Linked DNA regions of Drosophila melanogaster. The protein of the gene in region 3 purifies or fractionates together with the protein of the main gene of each other region. This does not show direct contact. Each region holds a gene or a part of one and is shown on either strand. Other genes may lie near its edges.

Region 1 (5,913 bases), on a different chromosome or scaffold from region 3:
ACGGAATTCCGCTCCAAGTCGAATATGTACCATCACACTAAGCGCAAGCACAAAGCGGAATGGGAGAGATCGCGAGCCACGCGCTCGGCGGCCAAGGCTGGCGTCCAGGAGCAGATGCAGCACACCAACCCGTCACAGGCACAGGCTCAGCCGGGTCCTGCGGCCGCACTCTAGGATGGCAGCCGGCACCTGGACGCGGTGCATGCGTAGTCTTAGATCTTTACAATTACAAATATATACATATATATTTTTTGCATATTAGCCATACCGAATGTACTTATCCGACGTTTCGTGTACTCCACAAAGTCAAGGCGTCCCGCCGCCTGGCACCTATTGTGTATACTCTTCTCGTTCTCTATAATGCCTTAACCAGTTGGATTTGATCTGGTTATAAAGTAAACACATTCATTTCAAAAGAAACTAAAAGTCATGTGCACTTATTGGGCGGGGCTTACTGCTAATTGGTGGCTCCATCGATCCATTTGCATGTGAAAAAATCTCTGATCTTACAAGTTTATTTCGTTTTAGCAATTTATACATCTGTTTTTACAATAAAAGTAAAGTATGCGATGCGGGTTTATGCGATTTATGAACGTAATGGTTAATTCAATAAATACGGCGTTTGATACCAGAGATCCACTGCCCACTGGCATGGATCAGCCTGCAGCCGTGCACATCCGTGGTTTGTACTCCGTATTTATTGCACTGGTCATAAGGCAAATATATACCCTTAATGCTGGATGGGATTGGAGGATTGTGTGATTTAAAAGTACTGCCGAGGCTTTGCATTGCGATGATTGATGCGATGAAGTTGAACTGGTATCTGCTAACCCTAACCCTATGCCTGGCTGCTAGCTGCCCCACTGAGATTGGTGCTGCTCCACTGGAGTTGGCTGCGGTTGAGCGCGTATATGTTTCTGTGTCTTAATGCTTAAACTAAAGGCTGCTGCTTCTGCTGATGGAGTCTGGGTACTGGTTCTACGAACGCTTGCTGCGCGCCTGCGCCTGCAGCAGATCCACCGACGGCACGACAAACACAAACGACAGGCAACCGAATCGCAGCAGGCTGCCGTGAGCCAGCACCGCCGATCCCTCCCAGGCGCCATCCACCATGGGCACTGGTCCGGCGTTCATGCAGCGGCAGGCGGGCTTAACAATGGGCGCCAATCTGCGGGGAGATTAAATCAACAAGTGGTTATCATCATCATTGGGTAAGTTGGGCAAATAAACTATAGCTACCGTTCTTTGTCGATTTTCTTCGTCTCGAACTGGCGATTAATGTTCCGACGCTTGTCCAGCATCTCATCGACGCGCTTCTTCAGCTCCGCATCGTCAGGTCGCATCGGCTTGCCGGCGTGCGTTGTCATCCTTTCGGTCACGTCGCAGGCATACAGCTGTCCATTCACCTCGGTGCCAAACTCTGAGTAATTGATCAGCTCGTACGACTTGGAGAATTCGTCGTAGAAGATGATGGCGTGCTGCGGTGAAATGCGACAACAGTAACCAATGGCCGACAGGTCCACGGTCTCCGTTTGCGCCAGCGTCGTCGATGGCGAATAGTGTCCACCGTAGCCAATGTACAGCGTGCGGTAGCGCATGAAAATCGAATGGTCCAGCCCCAGCGAACTGAACCAGCGGCTATCCTCGAGCATGTCGCCCAGTGGCGTTATCACCGCACGCGCCTGCACTTTGCACTGCAGCAGCTTGAGCTCCAGGCGCGATGCCAGCTCGTATGCCTTCTCCGTGTCGCTACGGGCACGCGGCGCATAGCTTTCGGCAGCGGCATCTGCTGCTGCAATGGCCGCCGCTGTGGCCAGTGCCGGATGCAGGGCCGTTGCGGGATCTTCGTCGGCGGCATTGCCATTCTTTTGCGCCAGAATTGAGGACGTTTCGCTGGTGAAGAGCAGCGAGAAACGGTTCATATCCTCCGGCGCCAGTTGGCCTTGCAGGGCAGCAGTTTCGCCAGCCACATGTGTGCCATCGACTGACGCCAGTTGACGCAGGCGACGAGCGGCCGTGCGATTCTTGTACTGTGTCACAATCTCCGGATGCTCTTCGACCAGCTGCTGCAGACGCTGGTGCGCCAGCTTCTTGATTATATCGACGTCCAGGTGTAAGAGGTCTGCATCGATAATACCCGTTGATTTCTTGCTGTCCTCCTCGTCCTCCTCGAAGCTAGCCTCCACCTCTAGGCTGGTCTTGGACTCCACCTTGACAACCGACGGCTGTTCGCTGGCCTGCGCATTCGATTCTGTATTGGGATTCTCCGTATCCACTTCGCCATTCACTTTATCGGCGGGAGTGTTCGTCTCGGTCCTTTTCTCTTCAGGACTGGGATCGCTGTCGCTATCGCCATCTATGGCCGTCTCCAAGGTTCCGAATTCCCTCTGAATCTCACGGAATTTGGCGTGAGCCGTGCGCAAGGCCTCCAGATCCTTGAGCAGCGATTCGGTGACCGACTCACGGGATATCTCCTCGACTTCGGTGGGCAGGTTATTGCGCCGCTTTACCCGATCGTAGCGCAACGTTTGGCGCATGGAGGGCAACAGCGGCGGCGGATGATCGTAGTGGTAGCGCACAATGGCTGGCACCTCGATGTGGGCGCGAGCACGCAGATTTCTCTTGGTGCGAAAGGGCGGATTGCGCGTGTTGACACGCCGGAAGAACTCAAGCTTGACATTTTCATGGTCAAGTGGCTGGTGGAAGCGATTCCAGAGACGCACCCGCTCCGTGGCCGAAATGCTATTGGTCATATTGGCATCCTGTGAACAGACATCCTCATTAGAACCCAAGCAGACCTCCATGTGCGTTGGCTGACTTACGATAAAATTCTCGGCATGATTGGGGCACATCCACAATCCAGCTGGCAGTGCCGTCAGTGGCGGATCCAGGCAATCCTGGTGAAAGTAGAGCGGACAGTAGTCGCAGGAGATGAGCGGCGCCCGTTTGCAGGAGCGCGTGCAGTAGAAACAGGTTTTGGCGGGCAGCGGCACCAGTCCCTGGGCATCCAGCTCAAACGGCTTGGAGTTGCGTCGCTGATTGCCGGCGCATCTGCGATTACCGCCATTTCCGCTCGGCGGATGCGTCTGCTGTACGGGTTGCACCTTGCCATTGCCCGGGAACTGGGTGTGCAGCTCGAGCTCCGGCGGCAGCGAGAATTGCTGCGGATTCATCATGGTGGCCGCCCTGATGACATCGTCCAGCGGCGTTGGCTTCTTGTTCGGATCGAGGGCGCGCTGTATGGACATCGGCATTTTGGCCAGCAGCTTCTCGGTGCTATTGCGTTCGCTGTTGCTGCGTTTGCGCAGGTTGCGGATCTTCAGCGGTATGGACTCCAGATCGCCAGACGATGGAGTATTCGCCCGTGAGCCACTGCCCGCCGAAGGCACACGCTCCACGGAACTGGCCTTGGATGAGGAGGCCGGCGGCTGGGAGAGCTTGCTCATGCGACAGCTGTGGCACAGCCACTGGCCACTGGGTATGTCCTCCTCGCTCAACGGTGGATCACTGTGGCGAAAGCACGAAATCAGCACTCAAAATGAGCAGCTATATGCGCGTGTATATACTCACTGGCATTGCAGGTGGAAGCTGGAGGGGCATCGATCGCAGCACAGCAGATTGCCGCCCTCCTCGCAGGCGTCACAATAGTCGTGGTTGTGGCCCCTGCCCGGGCGCCTGTAGTACGGATGCTTCGTGTTGGTGGACCGCTGCATCATCTTCTCGTCCTCGTTGGGCGGCGGGCGGATGAGCTGCTTGATTTGCTGCGCGAAGTAGTAAAGTTATGTTAAATGTGGGAAATGGAGACAGTTGTGAATGCGTTAATGTGGCAGCTCTAGAGTAGCCACCGCCGATTGGAATTGGAGCTCCGGGCAGTGGACACACTGAAGCTCTGAATGGCGTCCCGGCGGCACACTCACCTCCATGATGCTCAGTGAGGCGTTCGGGTCCTGGTCCAATTTTGACATCTTTTTCGCTCGCTCCTCTTATCCGGTGTACACAATCAATCTCGGAGCGACTTCACTTGGCGACGGAGGCGGGCGCAGTGTCGGTTGTCCAGCCCTGCGCATCCGACGAGCGAATGGCCACACTGCGCGCCCACCGATAGGCGATTAACGGAAATTCAGTGCAGACTGCATTTCACTCCAAATCTAACTACTTGCAATTAATAAAGTTTATATTGGGTATACACATTCGTAACCGAAAAATACCCAAGCAAACAAATAGTTAAAAATTAAATACCCAAAATTCTCATATTTCGCTCAGACCTCACTATAGACACCTATATGTTTACATCTTTTGGGCACACCACTAGCTAGCACTCGCTGTTTTGGACCAACGCCCGCTAAAAGAGCATCACAGCTGGCGGACGACGCAATTTGCCAGTTGATTTTACCAAACAATAGAACAAAATAGTGCAATGTTTTCGATATTTGGCAAACGCAAGCCCGCGGAAACGCCCACGGATGACCAGCCCATCCAGGGACCGGCGGAGGCAACCCGTCCAGGCACCAGTGTCGATGATTTCGTGTTCATAGAGCGCAAACCAGTACCGGATGCTCCTCATCCGGGTGTTCCAGCCGGCTCCATGTATCCACCTATGCCGCCAGCGGGCTATCTGCCCTATCCGCCGATGCCAGGACCGCGCAGCGATCAAGTGAAGCAGCCCGGAGCCCAAGGACCCGTCAATTACTTGCAGGACATTCCATTCGAGCTGGCACCCGGATTGGCCAACAAGGATCGCTACACCAGCACCCAAATGCAGGTGGACAGCATATTGGCGCTACTAACGCGCCAATTGTCCGTGGACGAGCTGGCCGAGGAGTACACCTTCGCCCTGGAGCGATCCGTGCAGAACGAGTGTTACTAGCTTTAGATCCATAGATCCACTGGTTAATATTCATACATTACATTACATTACATATAATAAAACGTTGCTTATTTAATTGTAAACCACATATGCAGTGCTCTTTTGCTTGTTAGTGGTGTGAGTCATTGGAATTCCTTAATCTTGTTGCCATACAATTAATGTTCCATTTCTTTGAAAACATGTAGAACTTTTCTGACTATCAAGTAGTCCTTTGGTTTTACCTCGCTCACATTTCAACTGGGACTGCTCATAAGGTGATCCACTATCGCAGCGTGAATACATAAAATTGTTAGTGCTCCCGTTTACCCAAATTTTTCGTACACAAAAAAGATTTCGAAACATTATTTTGTGTTTATAAGTAACCAAGTTCAAAGCTAAATTTCCAATACGTACAAATTTACCAAGCCGAGACGAGCCGTTCCGTTTCGTTTCGTTTAGTTCAGTTCCGTGTAGTACTCTTCAGCCATGGCCAGCTCCAATGTCTCGGATTGGGATGAGCCGATGCCCACGTCGACGGAGTCGCTGCCCGAGGAGGAGGATCCGGATGTGTGCGCAGAGGAGAACGTAAAGAAGCGGCGGGAGGAGGAACTGGACAAGCTGGAGTTGTATGTGCGGCGCATGGCCTACCAGCCGACACTGCCGCCCAAGGTAAAGCCCTACGACGTGGCCCTGTCCAAGCCCAAGTTGCACACGCTCATCGACAACTACGAGCAGTTCAAGGATGTATACGATCCGAAGCTGCGGGCCAAGCGGATCAAGCGCATGCTGGGCAAATACAAAGCCATTACCACGGAGTAAGTGCAGCGCTTGCATCAGTTGCTAACGCGATCTAATCATCTCATCTCATTCCCAAAAACAGACAGCTGGAGCAGATCCTTAAGAGCAACAAGACCAAGGAGCGAAAGAAGGAGGATTTCCTGAAGCGCAAGCAGGAACTGTACTACAACATGCTGACCAAGCTGGAGCGCCAGTGCCGCACCCAGTACCTGAACGTGCTCATCAAGAAGTTCGCCAAATTCATTTCCCATCTGGCCACAACGATGCGC
Region 2 (4,091 bases), on a different chromosome or scaffold from region 3:
CGAGAACGTAATTAAGGTGAAGAAGATTCTGGTCAACGCTGTTGGTCGAATTGCCAAGGAGGACTGGTCGGAGGACATACTAAATGCCAAGGTGAGTGAGCCGAGATAAACATCATTTAAAACTAAGTTCATCATGTGTTCCGCCCATAGCAATGCGTTTGCAACAACACAATGTCTGGAGCCATGTGACGATTTATAAAACTTTGCCACGAAATAACAGAAGAGACGCTGATTCGCCGCAAGATTTATGTGCCACCGCTCTATCAACAGTTCCACAAAAAGCGAGGACCCAGAGTTCACTCCATATCCATTACGTACGAATTAGATCCGAAAGACAAAAGGCAGCCGGTGAAAACTCCATTGAAATGTGAAACTGTAACGTCCGCGTCAGCGTCGCAGTAAATATATACATATGTGTGTAACTAAAAACATTTCCGTAATCAAATGCAATCTATTCCTAAACAAACGCTCAGATGTCTTCTGAATAATGGGACACTTTTCACATTTCACATTTATATTATTACATAGAGTTGCGTCTTTAAAATTAAAATTGGAATTCGATTGCGCTGTCCTTACGGACACTTCCGCTCGACTTGGCTCTTGCCGGCCTCTTCGTACTCCTGCGACGATATCCACATCTGTTGGAAAGTACCTATGCTGGCTAGAATAGAGCCGCCAATCCAGGCTCCAAATCTTCGCTCCACGCTGCCATTGGCAGAAATCATTTTTAGGCGCGTATTTGAGGGGGCACGCAGCTGGAGATCGCGATTTAGGCGCTCCGGAAAGCCTTGCAGAAGGGTATTGCCACCTAAGAGCAAAATATTAAGGTATAAGTAATTAGTTTTAAAACCTAGGGAAAATTCATACCAGTAACGACAACTGAGCCGAAAAGTGACAGCCGCACATCCGCATCACACATGCCCACACTGGTGGACGCCAATTGGCCAGCTCCCAGCATTGCATTGTCAAAGAGACTCTCGGCTATCTTGAACCGCTCAGAGCCAAAGTCCTGATGATAACCATTAGGAAACTCATAGTGTACCGTCGGGATTTGAGCAGCAACCCGTTCGTCGAACGGATTTTCTAGGACCTGCAGCACATTCATCTGAAAGTCTTGCATCATGAGCTGCAACATGTAGTTTTGCCACGACTGAGTTAGGTTCTCTGGCAGTTTGCGCAGCGTGAAGCGTCCGTTGTCGCGCTCCTTAACAACGTCTTTGGAGGCAATCTTGTATACCGGCGACAGATCAATGCCGTGCTTCTCCAGATGCTGGCGGCACTGTCGTGAAAGGAAGTCTCCACCCAGGGGTGACTTAACCACCGCCTGGGATAGGACATAGCCCTCATGGACGGGAACGGCCGAGGTGTGGGTGGCTCCACTATCGACAACCAAAGCGGTGGCCCGCCCGCTGGAGAAGGCAGCCAGAACGGCGTTCTTTACCAGAAAGAAGGCTGGAACATTGTACTTCTCGAACATAAGCTCGGTTAGCTTCTCGCGGTTGTTGCGGACATTCCACGATGCCTCGGAAAAGAGCACGGGATGGTATTCCGGCTCCGACTGAATGACATTGGCGTAGGCATAATCAATAACCTTCTCAAACAGGTCCCAGTTGTCAATCATGCCGTCTTTCATATAGGTCTGCACCTCCATATTGGAACGGGGAACGGTCACGTAGTTGGTGTCCACATAGAACTTGCGCTGGTCAGCATCTAGAGTAGGGGTAGGGATTGCCGGTTTTTCCGGGTTTTTAAAAGCCATAAACTAAATAAAGGCGATGTAGAAACTAACTATTTGGCGTGGCATTGTTGTCTGTTTTAGTTTCCGGATCGAGATTGGTCTCTGGAGCTGCTCCAATCCCCACAACCGAGGGTATCTCCGCCTTGGGCGAATCCTCCTGTGCGTAGCCCACTCGCAAGGAATGATGTCCAGGATCGAAGACCAGGGCGCCGATCTCGTCGCCGCCATATAGCATGGTGCCGCCACTCATATTGGGGCGTTCCGATTATTTTTTTCGCACGTTGTGTTCAAGTAATTCGCGAAAATACTTCCGTCTGTGTATATTTTGCGGCTTTTTTCACGACGCTTCTTCCTCGCTGGAGATGGTCTGATAAGTTATCGATTGTTTAAGCCAAATATTTTCCTACCTATCGCTTTGGTCGCTTACCTATCGATTGCTGTTCTCAAACAATTTCCATCGCTATTAGTTAGCAAACACAAATTAAAACTCGGATTCTAAAAACATAGATTTTATTAAAGAAATTACCGTTAAGTGGTATATTAAAACATACGGATGAATTAGTACACAAATGTGTTGTAGAACGTTGGAGAAACACAGTGCGAAAAATATTAAAATGAGTACCGACAGCGCCGAGGAAACGGTGATCCATTCCACTGTTCCCCATTTGGAGATTAACATATCAAACACCAACATCAGCGGCCAGATTGTTTTAAACGACTTGCTGCTCATGGAGATGCTCGCCCGGTATCCCTTCCTTATCATCCCGCAGGTGGAGCCCAAAATGGACGTTGACTACGACTCCTGGGGTTGGGATCAGCTGGCCAAGTCCTTTAACCAAAGCTACGAGCACGTTGAGCTGAGTACTCCGTTCTCCGTAAGTGAACTGAAGCTGCGTTGGGTGAAGCTGCGCCCGCTGGTCAGAGCCTTGGCCGGTTCCAAAGGGCAAATCCCTGAACCTCTGTGGCGGGTGATGCACGATGTGCACATTCGCATGCAAGCCCCGAATCCGGCGGATGTGCCGAAAACCAAGTGTCAGGAGTTTCTTCTCAGTCAGTTGCCTTTCGTGAAATCTATGGCGCAAGCGGAACGCCGGCATTTAGAAGTGGAGGTCCTCGCCCTCATCCTGGAGCAAGAGCGCCAAGAGAAAGCTACTCGAAAGCTGGGTCCTAAGGACCTGGAGACGGTTCAGAGCGAATACGACGAATTTCTTAAAGCGATACGGGTGAAAGAGCTCCCAGCAGACAATTTACTCAGTCCGGCCATGGACAGATTCGGCATTAGCCCACACAAAATAAGACCCAATGTCGCAAGTGCCAATAAAAGAATCAGATATAATAATGCTTGCAAAGGATCAAATGATGTCAAAATCAAAATAGAAACAGCTATTGAACCTAAAATTAAAGATACAACAAAATGTGACGAACGACCGATAGAAACACCACGCTTCGTTCCTCTTAAAAGCGCGAAATACTACATTAAAAGGTGTCGCATCCGGCTGAAGCGAGTGGAAATTGATGATTATTTACCCTTAGCTAGAATACGGCGCTCAAGGCGGCCTACGCTGAGAACATGACTTTCTTTCGTATAAAATGCACATAAGTTTATTAAAAAATACATTACTATAAATTACAACTTAAAACTATTGTATAATCCAAATAGCATTTTATATTTCACTTGCTTTGCATTCTCGAAGAACTAATAACTAAACAAACAAGGAGCGGGAGAACCTAGAGAACAGGAGAGCGGTTTAGCCGGGGCAGAAGGACGACAGGATTTTGTTTGCTCGTTGCCTACGATCGCCTGGTTCTTTCGATGCTTATCGGTAATCAGTAATCCGTTACACTACACAATCGTCAACAGATACTAAAGAACGCAATTTAACAGGTCTATAAATACAGTCGTTGGTTGAAAGCGTAGCACTTAACAAGAAACAAACAATGTTGATGAAATCTAACAAACGGTCATAGCTGCTAATCCTTTCTCAAAACAGTTGGTCCGCCAGGTTCCCAATGAACGTGGCCAGGTTCATGGATGAGCCCTCCTTGAATTTCAGTCCAATCGTCTTGCCGTAGGCTTGTATAAAAATGGCGCGCACTGCATTCAGGCGTTGCTTTCGTCTCCAATTGTAAAACAAAATTATGTCATTATGTATTTGCTGTCGAATAATCAGACTACAACTTACAAGTTGATGCATTGCTTGCTGGCCATAGTGCTGCCGCCTACGTCTTTGGAGGAACCGTTTGCGAAACCGTGCGTCGAGCTGCCGTTACTGATACTGCTACCACTTCCGCTCCCACTGCCACTCGATGCTGCATTGATGCTGCAGTGGTAACCATTGCCGCCATTGCATAA
Region 3 (7,485 bases):
GCGGTACGAGGAGATCGTGCCCTCCGCCAGGCGTTTCATTCGACGCATCACGTCGCCGGCGTCGAACTTGCTTTTCGCTGAGCGGAACAACATTTTCCAGCAGTGTTTTGGAGCCCGGAAAATGTCGGAAAATTGAGAAACATTTCAATTTTAGACCATTTTTGTGCTTCCCAGTGAATGGCAACTGCTTTTAGTGATGGCACGGCTAGTCTCGCTAAATCGATATCTTTGTATATCGGTTGGAAATTCTATACCCTCGGATTACAGGGTATAGTGCATTGAACCCCAAGTTTAAAACGCATAATGCAGTTAATAGGGTAAGCCCTAATTTATATTAAATTGTATATATCAGTTACATTTCTTTGTACATTTTGACGGGCTTGAATCTCACTGGGTTGACACAGATGGTTGAAACTTAAGACAGTAATGAAAAAACTCTTAATTTTAAATTGCACCTCTCCCGCAACTAAGCCCATATCACAGTTCCCGGTCCTCCAATTCCCGAATCGCATCACTGGACTGAAAGAAGGCAATGTGAATTAGTAAAGAGTGAGGTATGCGATGCTCCTTACCTTTTTGAACCAGAATGAGGGCATAAAGCTGATCTTGTTGCCGAAACTCATGTCGGCAGGCGGGAAAATGCCGTGCAGGTGGAGGTGGCGAACCGAGATGAACGGCGGCAAGTGGAAGCCCACAATCGCCTCCTTGGGATCCACGTTCTGCGATCGCAGGAATTCCATCATGCCCTGCTCCATTCGCCGCACTGGGTACGTGGCAAATGGTCATTAGTACGTTTGCTTGCTATGCGTACCGTGGCTTACCCAATCCAACGTGCGATTTGTTCAGCGCTTTCAGGCTGTCGAAGTGCTCCTTGGGAATCGCCAGATAGTGGAGTCTGGCTGCCGGATACTTGTCCTTGAAGATCACGTACTCGTCCGTCTCCACCTCCAGGATGGGCGGCGGTCCTTGGCGGCGGTGGGCGAAGTCGCAGAAGAAGCACTTTTCGCTTTCCGCCTGGCGAACCTCGCCACTGGCACATTTGTAGATCGATACCAAAACTATTAAGCCCAAACCGGCCAGCCCGGCTATGTACATTTTAGCCTTGTTTTTCATTCGGCTGTTTGACTGGATCGGCACGGTCTTAGCTTTTCTTTTCATGAACGTCTGTGACTAAGATCGTTTCACACTTTCGAATTGGTAAAATATTTTGGATAAGCGAAGTAAACATTGTAGCGGGTATTTATCGATTAACCATCGAGCGGTCCTATGTGCACTTCCATTGGAAATATTCCAGTGCTAGGCGGGAATTTTAAATCGTGTATTTACATTTTATAAAATATGAAAATGTATCCAGAACTAATCATTGAAAATATATGGAAATTAAAAATATATAAAAACTGTAGGTGTGCGAAATAAATCACCTTTCCATATAGCAGCGTTAATGAAATCACTAATGCCATTGCTTGGCATTACAAGTAATAAGTTAGCACTGTAATTATTTATATGTTTAGTTTCATTTTTAATTAAATTTGTTATTTTCTATCCGATCTATCGCTGCCTTGCCACCTGCGATAGTTTGATACCTTTATTTCCTCCTGGCCGCAGTGTGACCGCAGCGGCCTATCGCCCATCGATAGTTCGATATTCTTATTGCTTTATTTTATTAGGAATAGCAAACCATTTATCCGTATTTTTTGAATTAGCGACCTAATCCTGCGTTGGCCAAAGCTCAAGCAACCGGAAAAGCACGGGATCGCCGACGGCCAAGGACGTAAATCACGGGAAAGTCGGGATGTGGCCGCAAACGCTGGAAATGTCGCGGGACGAGTGCCGAGGCATGCTGCGTCGACTGGGTGAGAGCTGAGTGGTCAACGAAATTCAGTCCCATCCTCGGGAGCTCTTGAGGATCGGCCGCCGAGTGGAGCGCTGGCGACTAAAGCACTTTCTTCCTGTTGTCTCTGTTTTTGTGCCCACCAGAACTCGAGTCCTATTCACATGTGGTGAGCGTTTTTCGCGCCCAAGGAGCCCTCAGTGAAACGAAGGCGAAACTGCTGGAGGAGCTGCGCCAGCAGTTCCACATTAACCAGGAACGCCACAGGGCGGAAGTGCGGAGGGCGGCCAACGACGAGCAGCTCTGCACCATAGCGGAAAAGTGAGATTCCCAGTGAGATACTCCAGTGCAAACTAACTACTAATGCCCTGTGTATCTGTACTGCCCTTGCAGCGTTTGTGGGCCCAACACCTGGCAGGAATGGTCACGCGAGGGACGACGCCTCTATCCTCTTCTTCCCAGGATTAGTCCACAAACTGCGCTGAGCATCGTTGCCAATGACCTGGCGGCCAAAGCCTGCGAGGAAAACGCCAAATTGGCTGCTCCGGCCGAAACGGCGGTCCACTTTGGAGAAGCCCTCGTGGAGCAGGCCTCGCTGATGAGCCTGAAATATCCGCGTGGTGCCAGGATCCAGGACACCGCCATGGTGATCATGGCGGAGCCGGTGAGTTACATAATCCCATCCGTGTAGTTTCCACTCGCTTGAGGATAGCGAATGTGCAGACTGTACCTGCCATGAAAACAAGTGGGTGGCTGCTTTTGGGCGCTGCCAAAAAGTTGCCCAGCGCCAATTACCCTTTGAATATAGACGTAAATAATGGGAATCCTCAGAAGAATTTAAAAAAAAAATCATAATTCCAAATGAAAATAAAAATCTGCCACTAAAAACAATCCAGTTGGATTGTGGAGTTCCAACCAGAATGCTAAAAAGGCGGGAAAATTAAATCGTTTCAATTTTCTTCGTACTTCATACCATTTTACACTTTCGTTGTCACCTTTTTAGTTTCCCAATCGTTTTTCGCTTATTTGTTAATATATCTCTGGTAATCATTAGCTATTCAACTTAAACCGCCAGTAACAGAAAACTGTGAGTATCTGTTAACTGGGCTTAACATTCTGTTGGCTTCCAGCTGTTATCGATAGAGGGTGAACTTTACGTGCCGTTCAAATTGGATTTTGAATTGGATTATATAACGAGCACAAATAAATATGTAAATATTTATGTTTATAAGGAAAGTGACTTAAAACCAAAATAAGTAATTCTCCTCGCCCTTTTTATCTTGTTTTCTAAAGTGTCTGTTTTCAGGAGTCTGTTTCACAAGTTGAGTAATGAAAACGCCAAAAATTAAAATCAATTCTTCCCTCCTTCAGTTCAAAGTTCCCGATCTACCCAATGAGGTGAAGAAAATGACACAGAAGCGCAAGGAGAACGATAGCGGAATCGACGGCAAGCCGAACAAGAAGCGGCATATGCAGCAACCACATCCGCAGCAGCCGCATCTGCAGGCTTCGCAGCAGCAGCAGCAGTCACAGCAGCTGAATCCGAACTCCTCGAATCCCGGCATGGAGGAGGCAGATCCCGTGCCGCCAGAGAAACGGATGACTGCTCGGACGCTACAGCAGCGCTACTTCTACCAGCAGCAGATGAAGCACAAGCAGCGACTGGCCAGCAAACGGAATCTTGCCAACAGACTGGGCTCACCCTCCGCGCAATCGGGCAATCCCTTGGGCGGCAGGAATATGCCCAGCTCCGGTGGAGACACTTCGACAGCTAAGCGAAGTGCCGCACCTGCCAAGAGCGGCAGACGAGCGCAGAAGCAACTGCAGCAGCAACAGAAGTTGCAGCAACACCAGCAACAGAAAGTATTAATGCAGTCGCAGGAGACGGTGCCCAATCACATGGTGGTACAGCCGCACGTGGAGTATGTGTTGGATGAGGCGCTCAAAACGCTGGCGGCATCCAATCCTCCCACGCCCACGTCCACAGTCGCTCCTCCATACACAATCCTAAACGAGCCGAGGCCACTGGTCACGCTGAAGCCTCTGAAGACCATTAAGCCGATGATCTATGGGCCGCAAAGTGGTATGCCCTCTGCCGAAATTGGATCCCCCACAACGCCAGGCTCTCGCGGATTTGCCAACTCTCCCATAGTGTTTAAGGAGAAGCTGCAGGCGTCACCCGTGCAGGTGGCCACACAGGGTCAAGGTTCGCCCACCAAGAAGTTTGTGGCTGAGGAACGACATGCGGATGCGATGCCCTCCGCGGCCACTACGCCCACTCCCATTTCCACCGCGAATCTTCCATTGGCGCCGCAGATAATCAGTGTTCAGAAGATCCCAGCTCCGTCGATGGGCGGCAAGCTGAGAGCAGCCGTGGCTTCGCCCACCAGTTCCACAAACTCCACGCTCCTGCCACCGGGCGCCAAGACAACGCCCAAGAAGTTCAACATCCTTGAGGGCGATGCCAAGCCCAAGACCTTGCCCAGTTCGGCGGTTCGCCTGCTGCCGTACACGGAACCCATAGGCGGTCCTTTGTCGCCGCTCAAGGATTCCAGGGTCACTCCCTTAAGCAGCGCCTCCACCGTCAACATTATCAAGAATATACCAGCTAGTAGTTTAAACAACACATTGATCACACCGCTTCCCTCAGCCGGCACCACCATGCCGGCGAATCTCTTCAGAGCGAAGGTAACGCCGTCAATCAAAGGAGCCAGCGGTGCTGCAGGCGGCGCAACCGTTATTGGTGCCGCCGGAGCAACAGGAATCGGTGGAGCAGGGGCTGGGCCTCAGATACTAGGGAATATCAAGCTAACCAGCAGTTCGGGCGGAGCAGCCACTATTAAACAGGTGCCCAGCAGTGCGCTGCGGAACATAAAGATTTGCTCACCCAACGGGAAGCTATTCCTACAGCCGGGTAAACTGCCAGCCGGAAGCATTATTCACAAGTTCAATAACGCAAGCAGCACTGCGGTGTCTGCGGCGGGAGGAGTTGTGACCACCACCACCACCACTGTATCGCCCACAAAGCAGCCGGCGAGGGAGCAGAGGATCAGCATACAGAAGATACTCCAGCCGGCGACAGGAAGCGCCAGTAGCGGAAGCAGCAGTCCCACCACCACCACGACGACCATATCCGGCTTGACTTCCAGTGCCAAGCAGCCAGGTTTGGGCAACAAGCCGACCACGCTGACCTTCGCCACTGCGGGCGGTGGTAAGAACAATCTGGTCTTTCTGCCAGCGAGTGCGGCGAGTGGCATGCGGGCACTCACCCTGGCCACAAAGCCCAAGTCCAATGTGCTGGTCATAGGGGCGAGCACCTCTCCAGCTAGTGCCGCGTCATCTCCCAATCCCTCAGGCGGCACCAAGCCCAAAGCCAACCAACTCATTACGGAGGACACGCCCATCGATATTATTAACATGCCCATCATTGTGGCAGACAACGGCACCGCTGCGGAGCTCAATCAGGCGTCGGTGAAGAACTCGCCCCTGGTCGTGTTCAATGCCACCGACTGGGAGATGGAGCTGGATCAGGCAGCCACCAAGTCTGCCAGCACGACCTCGAAACAAGCTCTGGACGATGTGATCATCGAGGAGGACGAAGATGCCGAGGAGGAGGCAAGGGAGAGTAGTGAGCAGCCATCTACCATGGACCTGAACAATAGCAGTGAGTCTCTGTAGCTAATGTGCATGTAATGGAGTTCAACTGGCTCCTTGAACTGCAGTCGACTTCCGTAATCCTAACTCTTGCACTACTTTCCAGTAATTGAGCTGCACCCGGAGGATGACAGTGCCATCGAGTACGTCGACATGGACCTGGAGCAGCCCGTCGAGATTGAGAGCACCAGCAACATATCGCCAGAGACGGCCACCACCACGCTAAAGGCAGCCATCGTCTCCACATCCCCCCAGCAGCAGCAGCAGCAGCCGCAGAAGAAGCATCCCCCACTGGAGCATCCACTGAGCGCAGGAGCGGCTGCAGGAACAGGAAGCAGCACGGGAGCAGCTGTCCAATCAGCAATTAAGTTACCCTAAACGCTCCCCATTTCGAGATATTCGAGTGAGAGAACGCACACACACACAGCAGACCCGGTTTGAATTAGATTTAGTTGGTAGTTTAGCTTGAATGTCGAAGGTTTTCCCACTAATTTCCAATTATCGCAACCCGCAGCCTTGGAGCAAAGTGCAAGATTATCGTAAGCAGCTCTAAATGCCTGTTGGTTTAATCGCTCGCAATAGTTAAGTTGCCAAATCACACAACCACCACTGTTATAAACATAGTATCGTTTAGTGAAAAGTATACCCTGGAATTCGTGTTAGTTTTAGTTTAGTTAAGCGCCCATTTCATCCGCCTGCAATCCTGGGAGCCCGGAGTCGATCACCTCCCTCCTGTAAATAGGGCAGCTGCCTCTGCGGACTACCTTAATTTGTATAGCTTGTAAATAGATTCCACACTTCGCCCAGAAACCCATACCCCACTCCCCCCCCCACACACCACCCTTTGCCTAGCATAATTTCATCCTAATTTAGTTGCCTAGACTAGCGCAGAAATAAGCGAATTGTACACAAACAAACGAATTCGAGCAGCACGCAGAGAGCGAGGAAATTGTTTAAATGTTCAACTTGAAAGATTCTTAATTGTATGAGATTATAGACCCTAGTTGACCCAATCCGAACCCGAACATGTAAATATCTGATGAATTTCGAAATGCAAGGCCCAACTATCGCAGCCACATATAAATATACACTTGTATAGATACCTAGTTCGGCTAAGGACCACACATGTTTAATCTTGATCGGAAGGAGACCCATGCCACACACACACACACACACACACACACACACACACCCACACACACAGATGATTAACCATTAACGATTTATAGATGTTAAGTATTTTATGCGTCGGTTTTGTAAATCCAAATCTTAAGAGGAATGTTGTAACTTTCGACCAAGGTCCAAAAAAGAAACACACAGAAAAGGAAGAAGCATCCAAACAGAGAATTCCCCTCTACGAAAAGTGAAAAGTGTAATACAAAATATTGTTGAACGATGCGTGTCGCTGTAAAATTTTTAGCATAGAACTTTTAAACGAAATAAATTTAAATGTAACTAAAGGAACTCGTTTTGCTTTGGCCAAAGGGAAACGCCGCATTCTTTTTTGTCTTCTTTAATGGTTGTTTATGTACACACATATTTTAATATAATTTCATCAATGCACAATGCAATCCTTCCACTTAACATGTTAACTTATTGCTGTCGCCAGAGAATCGAGTGGTGATCGAAAAATAGTTGGAAAAGTAAAGAGCTTGGTGAGAAAATAGAGTAAACCAAACCGTAAAAAGGGGAATTAGTCTAGTCTAGAGAGTTTCGAGTTTCAGCTTGGAGTTCAGTTGCGACCCAAGGTCATGCCCCGGCCCCAGGGACTTTCGGTCGCCTGCCTAGGTGGTGCTCTGCTCTCCGGTGGGAGTCCGAAGCCGCCGAATCCGCCGGAAACATCTGGCACCAGGCGCTTCCTATACAAAAAAAAGAAGTGCGGGTTATATCGACTAGCACCACAAGTTAATTATCCTCGTTATGCTTACAAGAACTGCGGCGTTTCCAACAGGGGTGTGCCGCCCAAATCCTGCGAGTATTGGAACTTGAAGAAGTAGTAC

The links.
Region 1: the proteins of CG15356 (region 3) and CG3815 purify together in Drosophila melanogaster (affinity purification with western blotting; one study listed by BioGRID). This does not show direct contact.
Region 2: the proteins of CG15356 (region 3) and Bap55 purify together in Drosophila melanogaster (affinity purification with mass spectrometry, with the first as the bait; one study listed by BioGRID). This does not show direct contact.

The regions. Positions count from the first base shown.
Region 1 is NC_004354.4:6,293,558-6,299,470, reverse strand, and holds CG3815 (uncharacterized protein), read right to left. Parts: upstream 4,083-5,913; 5' UTR 3,966-4,082; coding exon 3,918-3,965; intron 3,762-3,917; coding exon 3,571-3,761; intron 3,508-3,570; coding exon 2,823-3,507; intron 2,763-2,822; coding exon 1,240-2,762; intron 1,169-1,239; coding exon 979-1,168; 3' UTR 501-978; downstream 1-500. Other genes in the region: CG12219 (uncharacterized protein), read left to right, coding at 1-174; CG15891 (uncharacterized protein), read left to right, coding at 4,418-4,867; CG15892 (uncharacterized protein), read left to right, coding at 5,333-5,661, 5,727-5,913.
Region 2 is NT_033778.4:17,428,853-17,432,943, forward strand, and holds Bap55 (brahma associated protein 55kD), read right to left. Parts: upstream 2,112-4,091; 5' UTR 1,989-2,111; coding exon 1,790-1,988; intron 1,711-1,789; coding exon 868-1,710; intron 809-867; coding exon 573-808; 3' UTR 501-572; downstream 1-500. Other genes in the region: Mtap (methylthioadenosine phosphorylase), read left to right, coding at 1-91, 151-189; Lhr (lethal hybrid rescue), read left to right, coding at 2,308-3,312; EDTP (Egg-derived tyrosine phosphatase), read right to left, coding at 3,721-3,856, 3,922-4,091.
Region 3 is NT_033779.5:1,974,920-1,982,404, reverse strand, and holds CG15356 (uncharacterized protein), read left to right. Parts: upstream 1-1,649; 5' UTR 1,650-1,792; coding exon 1,793-1,853; intron 1,854-1,977; coding exon 1,978-2,152; intron 2,153-2,224; coding exon 2,225-2,495; intron 2,496-3,202; coding exon 3,203-5,495; intron 5,496-5,591; coding exon 5,592-5,863; 3' UTR 5,864-6,942; downstream 6,943-7,485. Other genes in the region: CG7289 (uncharacterized protein), read right to left, coding at 1-93; CG15362 (uncharacterized protein), read right to left, coding at 478-519, 573-763, 822-1,095; Der-1 (Derlin-1), read right to left, coding at 7,218-7,344, 7,414-7,485.